3 linked regions of the Lonchura striata genome follow. Each later gene encodes a partner of the first gene's protein in a complex. Links are inferred from orthologs where the notes say so. Each region holds a gene or a part of one and is shown on either strand. Other genes may lie near its edges.

The links.
Region 2: the proteins of INHBA (region 1) and ACVR2A are in contact, whole or in part, in a crystal structure (PDB 7U5P), measured with the Homo sapiens proteins. The link is inferred for Lonchura striata from reciprocal best matches to the Homo sapiens genes INHBA and ACVR2A. Residues at the interface, in NP_002183.1 of Homo sapiens: Ile340, Ala341, Pro342, His346, Arg397, Pro398, Met399, Ser400, Met401, Leu402, Tyr404, Asn409, Ile410, Ile411, Lys412, Asp414, Glu421; in NP_001265508.1 of Homo sapiens: Asn36, Asp53, Lys56, Phe61, Thr63, Lys65, Val74, Lys75, Cys78, Trp79, Leu80, Asp81, Asp82, Ile83, Asn84, Val100, Phe102.
Region 3: the proteins of INHBA (region 1) and FST are in contact, whole or in part, in a crystal structure (PDB 2P6A), measured with the Homo sapiens proteins. The link is inferred for Lonchura striata from reciprocal best matches to the Homo sapiens genes INHBA and FST. Residues at the interface, in NP_002183.1 of Homo sapiens: Asp315, Phe327, Asp337, Trp338, Ile340, Ala341, Gly344, Tyr345, His346, Gly360, Thr361, Gly363, Phe368, Thr371, Arg397, Ser400, Leu402, Tyr404, Asp405, Asp406, Gly407, Gln408, Asn409, Ile410, Ile411, Lys412; in NP_037541.1 of Homo sapiens: Trp33, Arg35, Val44, Leu45, Arg60, Phe76, Met79, Asp135, Glu152, Pro154, Glu155, Val180, Val181, Asp182, Gln183, Tyr188, Val190, Arg221, Thr224, Cys225, Arg229, Ser230, Ile231, Gly232, Leu233, Glu328.

Annotation. Positions count from the first base shown.
Region 1 is NC_134603.1:104,093,196-104,100,835, reverse strand, and holds the start of INHBA (inhibin beta A chain), read left to right. Parts: upstream 1-4,632; coding exon 4,633-5,425; intron 5,426-7,640. UniProt on the Homo sapiens protein: Inhibins/activins are involved in regulating a number of diverse functions such as hypothalamic and pituitary hormone secretion, gonadal hormone secretion, germ cell development and maturation, erythroid differentiation, insulin secretion, nerve cell survival, embryonic axial development or bone growth, depending on their subunit composition.
Region 2 is NC_134610.1:2,547,076-2,553,976, reverse strand, and holds the start of ACVR2A (activin receptor type-2A), read left to right. Parts: upstream 1-3,892; 5' UTR 3,893-5,592; coding exon 5,593-5,647; intron 5,648-6,901. UniProt on the Homo sapiens protein: On ligand binding, forms a receptor complex consisting of two type II and two type I transmembrane serine/threonine kinases.
Region 3 is NC_134642.1:32,791,978-32,799,118, reverse strand, and holds the start of FST (follistatin), read left to right. Parts: upstream 1-4,132; 5' UTR 4,133-4,209; coding exon 4,210-4,291; intron 4,292-6,345; coding exon 6,346-6,537; intron 6,538-6,935; coding exon 6,936-7,141. UniProt on the Homo sapiens protein: Multifunctional regulatory protein whose primary function is to antagonize members of the transforming growth factor beta (TGF-beta) superfamily including activin, myostatin, GDF11 or bone morphogenetic proteins (BMPs).

The DNA.
Region 1 (7,640 bases):
TGGGTCTTTCCAGCAGTACTCCCGGACCACTGCCAGCAGGTGTTGCTGTGTTCAACAAAATGAAAAGGAGTGCGGCGCGGGGGGGTGGGGAGATGGGGAGAAAAATATTTATAAAGAGAGAAATAGGTGTGAAAAAAAATTAGTCACCGAGTAAAGCTTTCATTAGGCCTTTGGTAAAGCTATACACAAACTCCCCGGGGCAATAAGGAGCATGCTCTGAAATGAATAATGCTTTTCACTTCTCCTAAACTCCTTTCAGAACTTATCCTGCGCTATAAATCACATACGTGCTTGCTGTGCTTCACTCGGTAGCTTTCTCGTTCTGTCACGGACCACACACTTCTCCCCGGGAATCCTCTGCCCCGCGGCCGCGGTGGGAGAAGCTGGGTCCCGGCTGGTCGCTGCCCCAGGAGGGGAGCGGCGGTCACAGCCGGCACCGCACCGCTCTGACTGCGAGGAGAAGATAGCTCCGGCAGTCCCGGGCCGAATCTCCTCCGTAAAAGCACTGCAATGTGGGGTCCCTTGCTGAGAATATGTCCGCTGACAAATTGCAACAGGCACTGCACTACCAGTACGCAACAAATTTCCAAGAGTTTTAGGATGTCAGTTAAAACCAAATTCAGCCTGCTCCTGAGAAAAGCAGGACTGCAAGGTGGAAAAGTCGTTTGGCAAAACCTGGGTTTAGGATCCCCACGAAAAATAAGTCCTGAGACTAACTGGGTATATACGTGCTCATTATCTGTTTCTTGAAGCAAGTGTCTCACTATCCCTGAGGAAAAAGAAAGGAGGGGTGAAACAACAACAACAACAACAACAACAACAACAACAAAACCAGAAAAAAAAAAAAATAAAAAAAAAAGAAGTGTTGTTCTTTGTAGCAACTGGAACCACCAAACTCAGATTGCAGAAAAGCTACTGCAACCTGTTTCACTTATTATATGCGTATTAAAAATGGGAAACAAAGCAATCTATCTGGTCATATGTTTCCCATTAACTTCTGATTTTTTTCTCATTCTGCCAAAGCTGTTGTGTGAATACAGCACACACACCAGTTGGGATCAACACTGCTATAAGGACTCCCTGGTATCACTGTAAATTGAAAGCTTGAAATCTTTCTTTGATGCAGATCAGCCATATTCCAAGATAAATCAAAGTTACAATACCAAGAGGACATAAAAAATATAATTATAAGTACAATTCAGGCAAAAAAAAAAAAAATCTGAGGGATGGGGATTTTCTGGTAATCAGTGGGTGTTATGAATGAGTAAAGACTGCATGATCATGCCATTTGTCATAAACGGTACCACATAAAGCCAGTTATTATATGTGTTTAAGAAAGGAGATGGATTTTGGATTTACTTTTGACCTTTTATATATTACTTCTGTACTGCCTAATTGGCATAGTTATTTCTGATTTTCATTAATGTAAATTGAAATTAAAATTGCCATTTATTTTATTCCACAAGTGTTAATACCACACTTGCAAAAAAAAAAAAAAAAAGTGAACTGTCATTCATTGTAGTTTATTTTTAGATATCTAAACAGTTTTTAATAGTGTGATGCAATCTGCACGTCAAGGAGCCAGGAGAATTGGACAGGAGCAATATGATTCATTTTTTAAAGAGCTTTAAAGGGATCCCTAATTTAAACAGAAGGACATATTTATTCAGAGACTGAAATTAAAAAAAAAAAAAAAATCATCCAAAGCCAAAGGATTCTTACTCAAATGCATTTTCCTGAATTTGAAAAAAATCCAAATTTGCAGAAAGATTATCTGGTATATCCTCAAGTATGTACAAAGAAGAAAACAATTTGCAAAGTAGTAATTAAGTATCTGGCAAATACTGTATTTGAACTAGAACAGTGCTATCTACATCTAATAATATCTAGCTATGCAATTCAACAAGTTGGAGTGCATCTTCCTGACTCATAATGTTTGCTTTGTCTGATTTTAAGTTCTAGTCTTTAAATGGATACAGATATTTTGTCATGCTAGAGAATAAGGAGTTTCCATTAGATAATTAATTACCAGAAGTATGTCTCATACAGGAAAAACAGTCAATTGCTGATGTAACAGGATTAACCAATCCAGCACAGTGATCCGGCCCACTTTTGACAGACGTTATATGTGATGTGTACACACGAGAAGTACAGTATAAAGCTTCGCATTATGAGTACCACAAAGAGGAACTTCAGCAGTTCTTAAAGCACAATACAGCAGTCTCCTTCTGAGAGTCAGGACTAGAGAGGTAAAACTTTCAATCAGCTTTTTTCCTTTCGAACTGAAACTTTTAATTCCTGTGCATGCTGTTGCATACTGTTAGGGTTACATTGAATGAATGCATATGCAGAACTTTGCAGCTCAGGTAATTTGAAGAAAGAGTCTGAACCAACATTTCTGTATGTATTCAAACACATTTCTGTATGTATTTTTGTACGTATATGTATATACATGTAAGTACAAATAAACCATGTATCAGCGGTATTGGAAGACTCTCTTTTAGAAAACAGTGGTTTTTAGAAAGTTATGCTTTAGCATTAAATCTGTCATCATCATGGCATGCAAGTAAAATATGCTATACCTCTATGTAAAAGAGATTGTATGAGATAACTGTACCTGTAGTATATGGCAAGCAACATATACCCCACAGCAAGAACCCAGACATACTTATCTGCATTTTATTTTGATTTATGCCGCTCCCTTACTTTTCATCAGACACTGTTAGGATAGGTGCTATATTAGAACTATATATAACTCCTTTAATTATGTCATCTGTTAGTACATCTAATCATGAATGCATATTTTCATCTGAAATTATTTTTTCATCCAATTAAACTTTTAGTTCTATTTCAAGCTGACTTTCAGACTTCATATAATTACAACAGACTTTGGTCTGTTCACAAGATCCAAGAAAATTCAATGTATTATAGTGAGGTTTGTGTTACAAAGATGTGTTTATAAGAATGGCTGCAGGGTTTATAATGCTGACAGACCTGTAAGTGTAACAGTATATAACAGTATAGTAACTGAGGTCAGTAAAACACAGATGAGGGGGTACTGTGGATGCCTTATAACAGTAAAAGACTTATAAAAGATCTTAATTGAAAAGGACTAGCAGTATATAACATTTGTAAGACTTTGGTTGATTGTTCAATTACTTCTGTATGTTTCATTTACTCTGCCTATAATTCCTTGCCTGTCTCTTAGCCCATGTGCCTGTAGTCATCTCATGGAAATGAGAGACCTTTCAATGCTTATATTTATAAATTATTCCTTTCCACTGTGAAATACAATGGTTGACAGTAATATGCTGAGATATGCTGGAATATTTGCTGGGTAGGAGGTAAGCCCATCTAAGAAGACAGGTGTAGTAGAGAGAGAGAATGAAAGGAATGAAAAGAAAGAGGGCAAACGCTAAAAAAGAAGAAGCTGCTTTAAGAAAATTGGTACAAGATAATGTCTTGAAAGGAAGAATCTCAAAATGTATAGTTATAGTTGTCATTTTTCCACTATCAAATTCAAATGTAAGCAAGTTTGCAAACTTCAGCTTTGCTGGGTAAGGAAGAGAATGGAGGGGATACAGAATGTGAAGGCGACCTGAAGCCATGGCAATGGCACAGGGAATGCCTTCTCACTGCAGAGCAAAGCCCTCCCTGGCATAAACTGACAAGGGGCTACCAACACTGGCTTAAACTTCTTGTAGTACTTTAGATTTCTTTTAATTTCCAATGTCCTATTCTAATATTATGATTGCTCTCTGAGATTTAAATGAATGAAGTAATAAGTGCCTTCTAATAACAATGGACCCAATGCAGAAGATCTTACTCAGCCTTCACTCAGACAGAATTATTATTGGCATCGATGAGGGATTTGCCTGAGTCAGAAGCAAGTATGATTTGGCCAGATGACATGTAACACTTTTCACATTCAAAGCATTTTTCAGGCATCGCTTGATTAACCCCAAACCTAAATATATCTACCCAAGAACTTCCAGGCACAGACTAGCACAGAAGTAGGGCTATTATATGGCACTACCATATCATGTCACATATATGTACCAGCTCCTGCTTAGGCTTTCAGTGCCTGACTGCATTTTGCAGCTGGGGAGTGTATCATGTATTATAAACCCTCCAAACAACAGTGCTATTTTGTGCTTGTCAGACCTTTTGCCAGTGTTGATAACCCCCAGCATTTAGAAGTGAGCAGAAAAGATTTTTTTCTTCTACTCCAGGCAAAATAATGTTCTGTTCAAAATACTCAGAGCCCCTGCCCTCATTCCCATCTCATTCACAAGCTATTTAACATCTCCTGCTATCCCTAACAATACCAGGCAGGACCAAGAGCAAGGTGATCGTTAAAGATTTCACTCTCTTCATTCATTCATGTTTCCTCTGTTTAGTTAAGCCAGTGATACTGTTGAAGGAATAAAACAAACAAAACAAAACAAAAAGAAAGGGAAAAAAAAAAGGGGGGGGGGGAATGACAGCTGGGGGGGAGGGGTCAAACAGAAAGGAAAAAAAAAAGGAAAAAAAAAAGACTAAATTTACAGGAATGAGAAGATATTTTAGAAAGGGGGGAGGGAAGGAACCACGAGTAGTGATATTTGAAGAGAGGTGTGTGTTAGGGGAGCAATGAGCATAAGGAAGCCAGCCTGCCTGTTCCTCCCCCTTCCTAATCATAGCCTTTACTCACAGACAAAACTCCCTCCCTCTCTCATTCACTCACTCACTTTAGGCCAATCCGTCCTCTCTCTCTCTCTCCCTCTCTCTGTGTCTCTCTCCTACTCTGAGACAGAGTCAGAACTCTTCTCCCTGACAGCCACAAACATCTACAGCACTTATTGCATTCAGAGTGGGAACCTGCAAACAAAACTTCACAGAAAACTTTTGGTTCTTGTTCCAGAGAATTTGCTGAAGAGAAGGAAAAACAAACAAACAAACAAACAAACTAAACCAGCCCCCAAAAAAACTGTTCGTGAAGGGGGAGGAAAAGCAGGGCCTTTTAAAAAGGGAATCACAACAACTTTTGCTGCCAGGATGCCTTTGCTTTGGAAGAGAGGATTTCTGTTGGTGCTTTGCTGGATTATAGTGAGGAGTTCCCCAACCCCAGGATCCGAGGGGCACAGTTCAGTCACTGACTGTCCATCATGTGCCCTTGCCACGCTCTCAAAGGATGTGCCCAGCTCACAGCCTGAGATGGTGGAAGCAGTAAAGAAGCACATACTGAACATGTTGCACTTGAGGGACAGACCTAATATCACCCAGCCAGTGCCCAAGGCAGCACTTTTAAATGCCATCAAAAAACTCCACGTGGGAAAGGTGGGAGAGGATGGTTATGTGGAAATAGAGGATGATGTTGGAAGAAGAGCCGAAATGAATGAAGTTGTGGAGCAAACCTCAGAAATCATCACTTTTGCAGAATCAGGTGAGTGCTTAAAAAAAATAATGTAAAATATTCTTTGTGCCCAAACTGAAAAATATCCTTTCTGCCAAAACTGCAATAACTTATTTTCTTTTTCTCAGCAATAATGTTTTCTGTGAGGTTGTAGGATGAAACCTGGGGGAAGGGAGAAGGAGGAGTGGGATGGGGGGGTAGGACTCTGAAGGAATTTGATTTTTCTGACTTAGTCTTGGCTACAGATTACACTTGCTAAGCACAGTCAGTCACACAGGGAGGAAGCTCTCTAACCAATCTTGAACATAAAGTCAGGCTGCAGCAGGGTCCTCCAAACTCTGCCTGTAAATCGAGGGAACTTGCAGTATAGGGCTGGATTGCAGAGTTGATGGCAAAAGAAAAAAGACTGCAGCCTTCTGGGGAATTTATGAAGACAGAAAGTGAACTGCAAACTACTTTACAAACAGCCCTTTCATGTAAAAATTATAGTGGAAGTTATAAAATCAGATGAAGCAGCTTTAAGTTTTAGAAGTGAGATGGCTTTTTTGTGGGCTTTTTCCCTCATTTTTTTGTCTTTTTTTTTTTTTAATTTAACACAGCATCTTTGGCAATAAAGAGTTGCAGGGACTGTCAGATGACTTCAATAGAACTGGACAAGTTGCTGTAGCTGATCCAATTTGTAATGCAGACTTCTGCATACTGGAAAAAAGATTCTGCTTCTAAAACACTCCTGCCAAAAATGCAACCTTGGTAGAGTGTATTTTGAACTCTTTTACAGTTCTTTTCCCCGTAACTCTTAGGCAGCAAGAGCTCAGAATATATGTATTTAGTAAGTAATGTCTTTAGGCTAACATAAACTGCCCATAGGAAACAACTCTAAAGTTGTACTTTGCTGTCTTGTTCCTACATGAATAGGACCAGAACCCATTTTAATTCAACATATGTGTATCTGCACATAAATCTGTTAGTGTATGTGGGTATACTAGTGCACACATCAATAGCAGCTACTTGCAATAAGTCTATCATCTAACTAAGAGCAACTTTTTATGATGCTGTCTAGCCAAAGCATTTTTCCTGTTGCCAAGACGGTTTTAAAAGAATGTCATTGTTTTGTTTGGTACAGCATATGGTAGGCAAAGTATGCAAAGGAACTCCAAGCATTTTTGTTTAAAAGTTTGCTGCAGCAGTATAAACAATTAAGACAACACTCAGAGTTTCCAGTCCTGAAAACCTATTGACTCAGATGTTCTGATTGCAGGGAAGCCATGCACAAGAAGTGTGCATGCTTGTAAGTGCAGACATTCCTGCTGGCTGTCTGATTTCCAACTGTACAAGGAGCCCTTGCTTTTGGAGTCTTTGTCAATATACATATTATCAGTTCTTTCAGCATGAGAGCTCAGGCTTTTCAGATTTTCTATCTCCTCCACTTCAGAAAGCAGGGAGAAGATGTCAATGCCAGAGGTCATTAGAAGCAGGAGTAGCTCAACATTAGTTTAGAAATGAATTTATAAAAGCAAGAAAACCTCTAAGCTATCGATGAGTCGGATTCCCCACCTGGTTTTCAGCAGCTCGCTCTGAGCACAGTGGAACACATATGGCACGAACAGTGGTTTCTCTTCACTGTGTGCGTCGCAATAATTTGTAAACACATTATTGTCTCTCCTGAGCTCTGACACAAAGGAATCTGGAATTTGATATATGCCTGCTCTGTACAGTACCCTCAGCGGCGGCTGCCGAAGCCATTGGCTCTCGTGGTCACGTGAGCAGCAGAAATCGTGCCATTGCCCACACACCGGCCAATCATCCCGCCACCAGCCACCAGCTCTGTCACTCAGCTTGATTTACATAGCGTTCAACTACTGTTGCTGACAAATTACTTGGAGAGGACTTACGCTATGGAGCTGCAGGACAGGGGCATCCACTGCGTTCTCTCATGCCTTCTCCTCCCTGCCACAGTCGTCTTCCTTCCTACTAAGATGGTCCTGGAAGCCCAGGCAGGAGGGCTGCTCTGCTCATTTTTTCCATACCTGCTACCTTTCCATACCTCTTTGTTTTGGGACAAGGGAGGGACTATTGGCAACCTAAAAACTGAGCTCTGGTTTGGGCTTATAATGGAAATGATAAATCCACTCTGTGGAGTAACTTCAGATTACTCAAGCATATTTTTCTTCTACAGCCATTCATCTAGTGACTTGCTAACATCAGAGGATCTACCACATTTTACAGGTGCCAATGCTGCAACAAC
Region 2 (6,901 bases), on another chromosome or scaffold:
AAACCTGAGGCAGGGAAAATAATCCCTGGTGGCGTAGGGTCTATAGGCTCCAGGTGTTTAATTGAAAAGGGAATTTGTGCACACAAACTCGCTACAAAAACAGCTTTAGAGAACGTGATCCAGTCCAAATCCTGTCACTGCTCATGTGAATAAAATGATCCCACTTTAGCCCTGCACCAAAACAGGGCTGGGATTTCAGCCAGTATCTGAATTTGTGGATGCTCAGCTGGATTCAGCAACTGCATCTAAAATTTAAAAGTTTGATTTGAAACATTAAAGGAGAACATTTTGATGCTCAGCTATGTCGCCCCAACCCAAAAGCATTGCAGAGGCAAGCTTTGGATTTCATTTCAGTTCATCAGCAGCATTTAAAAGGTTAATTAAGTCCACATTCTCTCTTGTTTTCAAGTTGTGATACTCATATAGTTGTGAAGTATCTTAAGAGTTTTGGAACAGAGTAAAAAGTGCAAAATAATGAATAGTTTGTAGGAATTTTATTATTTGTCCACAGCAACAGAACTGAAAGTCTGTATTAAAACTCTTTTGGAATATGGTGAGTTTCACATAAATCATGCATATGAAAGCAAAAATACTTTAAAGCAGTTATTTACCTTTTCTAAAATAAAATAATTTAGGCTGCCATCCAGCACCTTTTCCCAAAGGAAACTGAAGCTGGCTGGTAAAGAGGGCAACACTGGGACAGATTAATTTCTTGACATTTTGGTCCTTTTTTTTTTTTTTTTTTTTTTTTTTTTTTTTTTTTTTTTTTGTTGGTTTTTTAAGGACAGTGCCTGAATGGGGTCTTCTCTTCCTCCAGAGTTTCAAAGGGGGAATGACTTAGACCACAAGGAAAGATGAAAGAGATAATGACAAGGATTCTCTCTGTTGGTGTCACTCCTGATGTTATCAACACCATGCTTCCCATTTTGCATTCAGAAATGTTTCTCTAGGTGTTCTGAATGAGTTCTGCACAAAAACTCCTCTCCTTCCACGTTGGGTTTTGTGTTGATTCACTGCTAAGAGTGGGAATAGCAAAGGCACAGCTGAAATCCTCAATTCCTAGCAGTGCTCCAGAGAGAAAAATGAGACATTGCTGGGTTTTAACTCTCCTCATTACTCCCTAGAAGGAAAAGTTATATTTGCGCTGCCTCTAGGCAAAGTCCCATCCCACATGAACAAAAGACTGAAGCTAAGATCACATCCATTTCATCTCCTCCTGCTCTCCACAGATGCTTAAGTCCCTGACACTGTGTCTTCGGTGCTCATATGTCACAGTAAATGATTCATTAAAAATGCACAGACAGATTGATCTTGGAAGGGGGAAAAAAAAAGATCTGGAGTTTGAGGCGAAAGGAAAATAGAAATGATGAGCCAAAAGGTGAAAAAGGGAAACACTCCCAAAATTCACATGAGAAAGACATTTAAAAATAAAGAGGAGACAGCAACTGTGCTGACATTTAATGTGTCTGCTTGGGATAAAACTCATCCTTTTACTAGCAATAAAACAACAGCCTAGCCCAAAGCCCTTGAAGCATTTTGCATCAAGTACCTCATAAAAACGGTTGGCAATTTCTCCTAAGGTCTGTAGAATATCTACACCAAACTATATAATTTTTTTGTGTGTGTAATTAAATGGGAGCAAATCCCCAGTGCAGGTTGGAAGATCTCCTTGATCCCAGCACCAACACTCATTGCAGACCCCTGGCCATGCTGAAAAGTGGCGAGGAAAAGGAATGAGCTCTCCTTGTGGTGCTGATAAGAGTAACCCCACAGAATGACTGGGTTTGCAAGATTTCCTGGATGGCCAGAAGGATTTGCTCTGCCAGAGGAATCCTGCCAGCAAAAAGCAACCCCTGCCTAAGGATAATAAGCTCCTTGAGTAAGAGACACCTCCTTGCCATGGCAAATTCTCTTATATAGGTGACACATTTATTCTATTTTTATCAAAAACAACCAGTAAAATAGAAATATGGACCATAATTTACACTCTTTCAGAAAAAAGAAAAAAAAAAACAACAACAATGACAACTAAACCAAATCCTTGCAATGGGAAGTACATATATAAATATATATTCACACACACACCAGCAATATTTTTAGCTATGATTTCCTACTCATGTGGCAACATGACCAGTGTTCTGAAGAAGCTGAGCCAAGTGAAAACACAACCTGCAGAACAGGTCACGTTTAAATATTCTGCTATTGAAGAATATTAAAAACTACAGATTAAGTAGGAGTGTTGTAACACTTAACATTAATTAACGCTTGTAAATCACTCTGAAATACTTGGATAAAAGATGGTATAAAAGGTGTTGCCACATGTCTTGATGCTTCTAGATGTGCACAAGCCCTGACATCTTATTTTGTGTTTGGGAGATTTCAAATCATAAAAAAAATATGGTCACTGGATGAATTTAATGTTGGGAAGTGTTGGGACACGACAAAGAAACACCAAGGTTGTCTGATTAAGAACTCAAGCAGACACCTCATTGTAAAAAAAACTGAAATAGATCAATTTCTTGGATCCTGGTGGAGCACCAGGTCTAGTTACTGATCTGTGAGTTACAGCTTAGCAGTGTGGCTAAGCCTTGACTTGGCTGTATATTCATATATGTGAAATACAGATAATTTTCCTTCCAGTTTAGTAACACCGGCTATTCACATCCCAAAAAAACCCCTTAGTCCATGCCACCAAACAGTTTGAAAGGAATCTGGGAGCACCTAACACCTGGGGGTGGTGAACAGGATAACCAGCTCTCAGAGAACTTGGCACTTGTTGCTTGTGCAACTACAGATCTTTATAGAATACAGAAATCAAAGGCCAGCACTAAGGCTCTTCTGTTTTCCCACAGAGATCTCCAGATCTAAGAGCCACGTCTTCCTTTTCATCCAGAGACAAGAGATGTGTTTTATGGCATCCAGCTAAGAAAAAAAAAAAAAAAAATTGTAAGGAGTGACACCAAACTTGTGAATGAGCAGAGTCTATTAGTGACCTGGACAGGACACACAAACACACTCCAGGTGCCTTCCAGCACCTCGGGGGAGCCCAGCAGAAGCACGGAGAGAACAGCACGGAGGGCAACTGGAATGGATTCCAGCTTACAAAAGGGCAGGTTTCAATTAGATGGGATATTGGGAAGGGATTGCTCCCTCTGAAGGTGGGTGCCCAGAGAAGCTGAGGCTGTCCATGGACCCCTGGCAGTGCCCAAGGCCAGGCTGGACAAGGCTTGGAGGAGCTGGGATGGTGGAAGGTGTCCCTGAGCATGGCAGGGGGTTGGAAATGAATGATTTTTAAAGGTTCTTTTTAACCCAAACTCTTCTGTGACTCTGATTCTGTGCTGTAGCAGCAGTGATGCTCCTGAGCAACGTGCCCACAAACAGAGACCACCGTAGCTCTCACCTGCACTACCTGCAGGACATTTTGGGGCTGGGGTGGCGATGAGGCAGAAGCCCAGGCCAACATTTGACCCCAGCGGCAGCGGCCCCAGCCTCCCCCCGCTGTGTTACACCGTCCTGACCCCTCCCAGCCAGCTCCCACCGCGTGGCCGCCGGCAGCGTTTTGCCTCCAGCACCGGAGCCCCCCAGCACCTCGAAGGAGCCCCGCGAAGGGGAATTAGCGACGGCGGGGAGCGGGGTCGGGCGGAGCGGGGCGAGGGCGCCTGAGGGGCCGCGCCCTGAGGGGCGGGAAGGGCGGGCGGGAGCGCGCCCGTGAGGCGGCGCGCGCGGGCCGCGGGGGGCGGGGCCAGCGTGGGGGCGCGCGCTCCGCCCCGCCGCCGATAGGAGGGGCGAGAGGAGGTGGGCGGGGCTAAGGCACAAACCCCGCGTTGTGATTGGGTGGCGCGGCTGTCAATCCGGCGCGGCCGCCGCGGCCGTGGGGAAGGAGGGGGAGGCGGAGAGGAAACAAAAACAATCGCCCGGGCGCCGCCATCTTGGGCCGGTTCTCCACACGCCACACGGGTGAATGGGTAGATATGAGATTACCACGGGGGAGCAGCGGCAGCAGGGCACCGAGGGCTGTTCCGCGCTGCCAGCGACACTCGGCGGGCTCTAGGCACGGCCGCCGCCGCTCGGAGAGAATCCCCCGGCTCGGCCTTTTCGCCTCGCCAGCCCCTAAGCTGCACTGCTGGAGGGACAAAGTTGGGCTGAGCCGCGCTGCCTCCGCCGCCCGGGAGACCGGAGAGTTGAGCCGGGGTCAGAGTTAGGGGAGAGGGTGAGGAGGGGATCGCTCCCCGCTCCGCCGTGTGGGAGGCGCGGGGAGAAGGCTCTGCCTCCCCGCCCCTGCCGTCTCCTGCTGCTCGCTCCTAGGAGGAAAAGAAAAAAGAGGAGGAAAAAAAAAAAAAAAAAAAAAAAAGAAAGAGGCAAGAACTGGATTGAGCTCGGAGGGGTGGATTTTGTGGAGCCTCCGTGTGTGAGCAGCGGCGGGGCGGCCAGGAGGAGATGTGTCCGTGAGGAGGGAGAGGAGCGTGGATCCATCCAGGAGCCGTGAGCTGCGAGAGGAGCCGGGATCCATCCAGCCCCAGCCGTGAGGCACCGCCGCCTCCCTTCCAAAGAAGCCCATTTCTCCTGGAAGCACGGCGCTCGGCAAGGATTTGCCACAAAGAATATACCACCCTCCTTCCCAGCGCCTGGATACTGCATTTTTTTTTTAATTTTTTTTTGGTACCCCCCTCCCCAGCCACTCTTGTGTGTTTAAATACCAAATATAGCCTCTCGCGGGGGGAGGGGATGGAAATCTCCTAGAAGAATTGGAAATCTTGCTGGGATTCGGGAGTGCTGGTGTTGGAGAAGGGCGGTGAAGAAGGGGGGATGCACTGCTCTCGCTGCCTGGCCAAGGACTAGAGATTTGCCACTTCCCGGGAAGCCCGAAGGTTTGTTTGTTCCCAGACTGTTGTTTCCCCCCTTTCCCTCTCCTGGGCTACGCTAAATCCCTCAGCATTTATTCAAGAAAACCCACGTGTAGCTGGTGGCTGGTTTTTAAGGTAGTTTTTAATCTACAAACTGACAAAAAAAAAAAAACTTCCTCTCTTCGCCCCGAGGTTTGGAACTGGAATGGAGCTGCTTTTCTCCCAAACACTACAGGAGGTGTGAAGTGGGGGAGGCAGGACGAAAACATCGCCTTGGACTGATCCCGATCCGACCCCCCGACACTCGCACCCACGAGGGATGATCCTTCTCGGCGCCTGATGTGGAAAACATTTGGAGACTCAGAGACTTCGTCGAGTTCAGCAGCTTAATCGTTGACTTATTTTGTTTTGGTTTTTATTTTTTTTTTTAAGTGGATTGGTAGCATTACTTTTATTAATTGAATTTTGCCACCGTTTGTACAGAAGCCAAATGACACGTGTGTTTTGAAGCACGGTTCCAAATATATTTATCCCTCCCTCAACCCGGATTCTGTCTAGAAAGAGCCTTGGGGAGGTCGTCACTGTCTAAACAAACCTGATTTTTAGTGTTTTATGAACACTACCTGCTGCAGAAATGTTGCTATAAATTGCTTTATAACGGTTCAGCAAGAAGGGAGATTTTTCCAGCTTGCAGGACCCAGAAAACTGGATACTTAAAGTCACTTAAATGTTTTAACAGCATTGGAAAATGGGAGCTGCTACTAAGTTGGCGTTCGCTGTTTTTCTTATCTCTTGTTCATCAGGTAAGTGAATGTTCCTGGATTTGTCACTTTAAACTGAGGGCTTTGGGGTCAGCACTCGAAAACTTGGGCTGGCTCTGTATGAATGAGAAGAAATCTTATTTTTTTTTCAGGAGGCTAATACTTGTGGATGGCAGCGACTGTAAAGGCAGAAGCTGCTTTCGTCTTTATTCTTAAAAATATAAATAACGTGAGCACTTGAAACGCTCGCAGCGCTTGGATTTCAGATCAATTGTGTGGAATAAATGTGGAGATATAACCACCTAGTGTCACATAAGTAACCTGGCAGCGCAGCTATCGGTGTTGGATGCTGGTTTTAAATAAGAATTACCCAGCTGAAATGCTCTTTCCTTCAGTTTGATCTCTCTTACCCCGGACTATTCACTGGTGAATAGCGACCTTCGTTAATGCTTCATTAATTTAGAATAGGTGCCGCTCTGAAAGGCTGGGCTCGTCCTTTGGTGACAGCGAGGGGTGTGTGCGTGTAGAGATGTACCAACAGAACTGGGGTGAAAAGCCGGGCTTTCAGTTTCTAAAGAACCATTTGCAGCGCTTTGTATTTTGGTATTCGTTATGTCACTGCCTTTTAGCGCAGAAAAGAAAAAAATCTACTAATTTTTTCTGTCAAACAGCAGAACTGGGGGTTCAAACGCCAGCGCTGAGTCTTGGGAAGCGAGCGGGGTGCGAGGACTTCCCCACGCTTTTCCAAGAGGAAAATTGTTATGGCAGCAACCAGTGGTTGGGCAACTGTTGGTCCATTTGTGCTTGGAGCTCCGTCAGTCTCACAAAAACCCCTCTTAGGAGCTGAGTGAGGATCTAACGCGGCTTCACAAGCCAGCCTGGCGCTCTGTGCCCGCATTCGGAGCGTGTCTTTATTGCTCTGGGTGGGTTTTTAGCATCCTTGCAGGGTGTGCAAAGCTACACTTGTTTATCAGGCTAAAAGCTCGCAGACAAGTGCTCAGCCTCCCCGTGTGACCGAGAGAAGGGAGTAATGAGATCCCTGTAAGGATGCCTTTTAAATTTCCAGCGCTATGGAGTTGGAGGATTTTGCTGAAGAGGCCGTTTTGCTGTGGTTAGTAAATGGATAAGTCTCGTCTTGTGTCTGTAGTGCTATCGATCCGCACTGTGTGCGCTAAATGTGCTGTGAAATGGCGAGCGCTGCCAGGAGAAACCCAAAAACCCTGCCTGTGCTAACCAGGGAAACGGCACAGCGGCTTAAGGACAGCCAGAAGGGTGTTCGGGATGGTTAATTTTTAT
Region 3 (7,141 bases), on another chromosome or scaffold:
TTCCTTGTGTTGGTCTGTGGTACTGCCAGCACAAGACAAGAGAATGTCTTTGGACATTGTCATGTTTGTACTTCCAGTAAGAGGTAGGTATCTTTCAAACTGTTAGGGGATACACATTTCTGTTACTACTTCCTGAACCACCAAAGGGAGGTAAGGAAGGGGTCAGTTTGGCTCATATCACATATATGTCAATATTATTTGACCGAAAACATGAATGACACCTGCCTACATGACCTTTCTGCAGTGTGAACCAGAATGAACAGTTTTACCAGTGTTATTTATTAGGTAAGTTCCCTACTACCTCTTTATCCAGTCCATTGCCCACCATAACCTCTTGGGTCAATTTAATAAAAAAAGAAAAAACAACTGTTCAGCATCTCTGTATTCATCCGATAAGCACAACACTCCCCAAGAGCATGCACTGCAAGTTCTATGTTTAATAGTCTCACTGATGTGCAGGAACAATTTCAGTGGAATAGCACACATAGCCAATACTTGATATTAAAATTCAGCTCACATATTTTAGAGCTTAGTTTCATCAGGAACTTACTTGTTTTTCACAAAAGGTCTTGGTCAAATCAAGAAATCAAATTTTGTAATACAATTTTTTATGCTACATTTTTCCAAGAAATAGCACATGAAATTTCTACAGAAAAGTTATTTAAGGTCTGTAATTATTCTCCCATACTTAAAAAGAAAAAGTGGAGGGAAAGCTTTTCAAATAGTACAATACAATGGTACTCAGAAAAGTCCTTCAGTCTAGTATCTAAGATGCAAATGAGGAGAGCCTACATGAAATTGCAGTTTTTCAGAAACAGGCCCTTCTTTTTGTGATAATCAGTGCAATTAGATGGGAACAAAGCAAGGTAACAAGTCTTCTACCAGAAGAGGACGTTCTACCTTTATTTGAGTGGGAGAGGCTAGTTGTGTGAGAAACTGCATGGGATGATGCATACATGCATCCAGGACCACAGGAGGGTGTCTGAGTCTTTTTTAGCTCCCTTGAATGTTAGATTGCCAGGATAGACCTTCCCATTTGCGCTTGATCAAAATCCATATCTCTTCCAAATAATCGGTTTTGGCATGGAGTCCTATCCACAACCTAAAAAATTTTATTGCAAACATGTTCCTTATCAAAGAGGGGGTTCCTAGGTGGTCCACTCCTGATACCAGCAACCACTCTTCTGTTAGGCAACAGAGTGAGGGGAAGGGCGTAAAAGGTAATATCAATACTAGTACATCACATAGTTAATATTGACATCACAAGGTTAATATTCCACATATGTGTATGTATGTGTGTGTCTGCATCTGTGTGTGAATTAATAGCACATATTGACAAGGTAACTTGCTGATTACTTTTCCTCCTTCTTCATATTTTGCTGCTATTTTTTTCAGAGGCCAGCCACTTAATATTTTGTATTATGGAGTTTGCTGTAGCTGTAGCTATGGCTATTGCTATATTAGAACACATAAATATGTAAATTGAGAACCAAATCTGAACTTTCTGAAAGTCTGAGATGTAAGTATATAAGGGTTTTTTTTAAAAGCTCTATTATTCTAAGATCAGGGCCAGCTGCAAAGATTGGATTCACGTCCAAAAGCCTATATTAAAATGCATACATTTCTTGGTAGAAAAAAGTTGTGAAACCTGTCAGACTGAAAACAACACTCTTTTCTTGTGCTGCCTGACAGTTCAGTTACAGATCGACGCTATTGTTTTTTTGGTAATTTAAATATGATTGTTGGCAAAGCAGAAAGGGGTGGGGGAGTTATAAAGAGCAGCACACATAGTGAGAAAGAAGAAATCATGTCTGATTACATAATATGTCCCTGACATGTTCTTACTCACAAATCCAGTATCTAGCATTTTAAAAAAGAAAAATAAAATTAAAAAAAAAAAAAGGGGGGGGGGGAAACAGTAAAAGAAACAGCAGCTGTTTCTAAGTGATGTCAGAGAACAGGTGTGATACAAATCTCCATACCAGGGCAATCATATTGATCTCCCGATGATGCATGCATAAAGCACATGTGTAAACCTTATCGACCCATTCTGCGTTTCATTTCCAGGAACACGGCCTGAAAACGCCCCTCTATAACTGAAAACATTTTCAGGATAAACACTGTATTGGCCAATTACTAAAAAACATACACAAACGGAACACGGGAAGGTGAGCCTGACCCCGCAGCCCTCCGGGCAGCCGTGCAGTGCCGGGCCGAGCCCAGCCGAGCTCGGGAGCAGCCGCCAGCGCGCCCCGCGCCACCGCCGGGATCCCTCCGAGCCTCCCGCGGGACTCCTCCCGGACCAGCCCCGGCACCAGCGCTGCCCCGGCGGGAGCTGTGCTGCCGCCCGAGCTGCGCAGCGGGTGTGCCCGCAGCCCGCGGGCACAGCGGCCCCGGAGCGGCCCCGCAGCACCTTGCGGCCGGGCGCCGGCGCTGCCCGGGACGCGAACCCGGCGCGGCCAGGGGCGGCTCGGGCCGGGGCGCGGGCGCTGCCGCTGCGCGCCGCCGCCGTTAGAGGGCACTACGCAACCCCGCATGAGCGCGGCTCCGGCAGCAGGGGCGGGGGGCAGGGGGAGAGTGGCACCAATCTGGGAAAAGATTAAAAAGGATGTGGAGTCCCGGAGCTTCTGAAGTGCTTAAAATGCCCGGGCGATGCTCAGGACGAGGAGGACGAGGATCATAATAATAATTTAAAAAAAAAAAAAAACAGCCAAAAAAAAAACCGCAGCGAGGTCAATCATTTACCAGTCTGCTCCTTAATGCGTGTGACCGCAGGTGGTACCGAGGGACATTGTGATTCATGCCCACTTTCAAAGCGGGACCAGGGCCCGGCCTGAGGCACCCAAACAACTGTCTTCTAATATTAGCACGGCTGTATTTCTGGATCTATTATAGTCTGTCCAGACAGATCCCATTGTAATGGGATCTTTTATTAAAAGATTAGCACTATCTCCTGCAGTTGGTGGAAAAAAATCTGTTATCACTGAGTTATTTGCAGTTGTGGGGAGGGGGCAGTCGGGAGGGGGAGGTGGGGGGGCGGGAGCGGGGAGGAGGGGTATGGGGAAGGCCGGGCGGAGGGCGCGGGCGGCCGCGGCGCACCGGCCCCTGACCCGGCACTGTCCGGGCATTCCTGTCTGCATACTTCGCAGTCTGTTGTGCTTTGGTGGCTCAGAAAAGCGAAAGAATCGAAATTTAAAAGGCAGCTTTTGAATAAACAATACCATTTTCCGTTAAGTAATCGTTTTGTATAAAAGGAAATATCGCCTACTCAGTTTCATTCAGCGGTGCCAAAAAATGTTATAAATGAGAGACCGCCAACTTTTCTAAGGAGAGAATAATGCCAGACTGTGCTTAATAAACTAGTGCCCTAGAAGTTCATTATCGATGTTGCAATCTTTCTGTTTCTGAAAGGAGACCGCCTACGTCGCCCCCGTTGCCGTCTCGTCCTCCCGGGCTCTCCCAATGAAAAGCCTATCACCCGGGAACGGCCCTAGGTATTAAACTTTTAGCCGGTTCTGTCTTTTAGGGGTTTGGGTTTTTTTCAGGTTTGGGGCTAGTCGATCGGGGTTTGGGGTTTCTTTGGGCCGAGCGATCTGTCCGCCCGGCCGGCGGAGGTGCAGGGAGTGGGATGTTATCCCCCGCAGCCACCTCGCGCTGAGACCACGCCCGCGGAGCCGATTCCGGGCGGGCTCCGCTCCGCGCCCCGGCAGCACCCCCAGCCCGCCGGAGGGGCCAGGGCGCCCCTGGGGCGGCCGCGACCCCCCGCGGGTCTCCAGCCTCCCGTGGCGCTTGCGCGGCCGCGGCGGCTCCGCGGCGGGGGCTGCAGCCGGGGCCGGGCCGGGCCGGGCCGGGCCGGGGCCGCTCCCGCCGCTGCCCCCGCCGGCGGCTCCGCCGCTCAGGGTGCGCGGGTGCGCGCCTGTGTATGCGTGCACCTAGAGCGGATAATTGGAGAGGGTTTCCAGAAGGTGGGAAATGTCACCTGATTCACACTGAACTTTTTAAATCTCCCCACCCCCGACACACACACACATTAGGAGACCGCCCACCGCAGACAGCTAGGACCCCCGTATAGATTTAAAGAGAGACTGCATTCAGAGCCTGACGTTCATTCAATAGAGCGATCATAAGCAGGCTGGCTAGCGCTCGCTCCCTCTCCTTACTCCCCCTCACGCTGTCTCTGCGTCTCTCTCACTCCCTGCTATACTGAGGATGTTAAATCAGAGAATCCACCCGGGCATGCTCTTAATCCTGATGTTTCTGTGCCACTTCATGGAAGATCACACAGTGCAGGGTAAGACCAGACTGTTTATTCGCACATATGTTTCTTTATTATTACTAATGTTTTCCGTCTTTCGGGCAGGGTTTAGTTTGCTGCGGTGTTAAACGCCTCTCTCCAAGGTCCAACAGAACAGAAGTTAACTATGGGCTTTGTAGCGAGGTGCAGAGGTGTCATTTAGATCCCTTTTTAATCGGATCTTCGCACTGCTCAGCAAAGGAACAGAGGACAGATAGGCTATTTCTTGTTTTTTTATTGTTATTATGGAGCGTGAATGAAGAGCAGCATCGTGAGGGAACTTTCCCAGTCTCGGCTCCCGAATGAATGCACGAAGTTTGTTGGTAATTTAGTTCAGATTTTTATTTCTCCTAACTGACTGAAGGAGAGGTGGTGATGGAGAACCCCAGGATTACATCTGACATTTTTAGAAACCAATAAGTGGTCATTTTATTGACTTTAATATTGGGATTTTCTCCTCCTCCCTACTCTTTTTTTTTTTTTTTTTTTTTTTTGAGTGTGTGTCTGAGTAAATATTAACGTTGTAAATTCTCCTGCACTGAAGAGTATGCTTAAATAAGTTGGTGAGTTGGTGGTGGTTTTTTGGGGTTTTTTTTGGTGTGGTTTTTTTTTTTTTTTTTTCCTCGTGTGAACAAAACAAACCCGAATCTGATATTGACAACTCTTAAGAGCCCTCTTTCGACACAAGGGAATATTGATCTTTAGTTTGTGGGCTTTTCCCCTATTCTTGACCATGTTCCAACCTGGACGTCTTGGCATTGCTTCTTTTATAATTCTTTCTTTTCTTTTTCTCTTCCCCAGTACCGATAATTAATCTAACCTAGCCAACTGTAAGACATAAAACTTTTTATTTTTTTAATAAGGGCATTGTTTGTTCAATGATTTAATGATTTTTAGCGGGGTGGGGGGGGGGGGGGGGGTGTCTTCCCCCGCGCTCAGCAACATCTCTGCTGTGGCCGATCCTCACCCCGCGCTGCGGTACATTCCTATCGGAGTAAGGAGGAAGGATCGAGCCCTGGCTGGATTAGCGGGAGAGTCAATTGGTATTGAGTTGCTGGAGAAGTCACATTGGTTATTCACGGGAGACCCATCTCAACTAAAATGCTTCAGCTAAAAAAGGGGGAGTTGCTTGGACCAATGTTCTTGGCTGGACTCCACAAATAACAGGGATACGGGGGGGGGCGGGGGGGCGGGGGGGGGGGGGGGGGGGAGGAAGACAAAAAATAACCCCAAGAAAACCCACTCTATCCTGTGTAAGGACAGTGTACTTTCCTCTGAAATGTTTGCAGGAGAGATGGAACCTATAACTTTGCCAGCTTGATCGATTTTTAAAACTCTATAGGGACCTCCTACTATAAGTGTCCTTGTATTTTATGTACTTTGCCCACTTTTTTTTTTTTGGAACTCTGCTGAATTATGTTAGTGAAGGAGACATTTGTTAATAGAAACAGCAAAATGTGGCGATTTCGAAAGACTTCGCTAACAGCAAATGTTCCAAATTCGTGCAGATTGCAAAATGGGCTGGGAGTGAAACTGTGCAGCACTAAAACAATGCTGTTGTGCAGCCGCGGTGAGGAGGAGAGGGCAGGGGGAGGAGGAAGGAATTTGCAAGCGCGATTTTCTTTTTATTCCCTTTTAAATGCACATCCTTTTCAAGCCTCTGTCACGTGTCGGCAGTGCTCCTTCTGCTCTACATATGGAATAAATACCTCCAAAAACTCTAGCTCTGTTTTGGTTCGGTCTTCTCTTTCGTTCATTTTGTTTTGTTTTGTTTTGGACTTTGTTTTGTTTTCTTGGTTTGGGTTTTTTAGTTCTTTTGTGGTTTTAGGGAGGATTTTTTTGTTCGGTTGGGTTTTGGTGGGGGGGGGGGAGGGTTTGTTTGTTTTTTAAACTGCGCTTCCAAATGGGCCGTAGTAGCTGCGGGTTATGAAACGGGACAAATAAAAGGAAGCAGTCTAGTAAAAGTCACGGCAAGGCGCACGTGCTGTGTCTGGGTCATTGGTGGCCGCCACTGATCCGTCTGGGTGTCCCCCCCGCCCCCCGCCCCACAGCTGGGAACTGCTGGCTCCGCCAGGCGCGGAACGGGCGCTGCCAGGTCCTCTACAAAACCGACCTCAGCAAGGAGGAGTGCTGCAAGAGCGGCCGCCTGACCACGTCGTGGACGGCGGAGGACGTCAACGACAATACGCTTTTTAAGTGGATGATTTTTAATGGGGGAGCCCCAAACTGCATCCCATGCAAAGGTGAGGGGGTGCTGGCGAGCTGCTCCCCGCTGAGGAGCGGCTCCGGCAGGGGGAGGAGGAGCGGGGAGGGAGTTGTGGGGGGGCAGCCCTGTTCTCTTGCTTCCTTCCTCGTCGGGATTTTGAGGGACGTCTCGTACCAGCCCCGGGATCGTGGGGGGGGACCCCCCATTTCTGCCTGCCGCCTTGCACTTCACAAGGAGGATGGGAGAGACCCTCTCTCCCCCCTGCCTTCACTGGCGGGAGGGAATTTACCTCCAGCGGCGTGTCCTGGAACGGGAGGGAACGGTGTTTTTGCTCTGTGCTCTGGGTTCACGGTATCTTTCTTTCTTTAAGCAGTTTTGACACCAGGTCTCTTCTGCACACTTGGTACTAAAGTGGTGCCTCTTTCCTTCCATCAGAAACATGCGAGAATGTGGACTGTGGACCCGGGAAGAAATGTAAAATGAACAAGAAGAACAAACCTCGGTGTGTTTGTGCTCCGGATTGCTCTAATATCACTTGGAAGGGTCCCGTGTGTGGCTTAGATGGGAAAACCTACAGGAACGAGTGCGCCCTTCTCAAAGCCAGATGTAAAGAACAGCCTGAACTTGAAGTCCAGTATCAG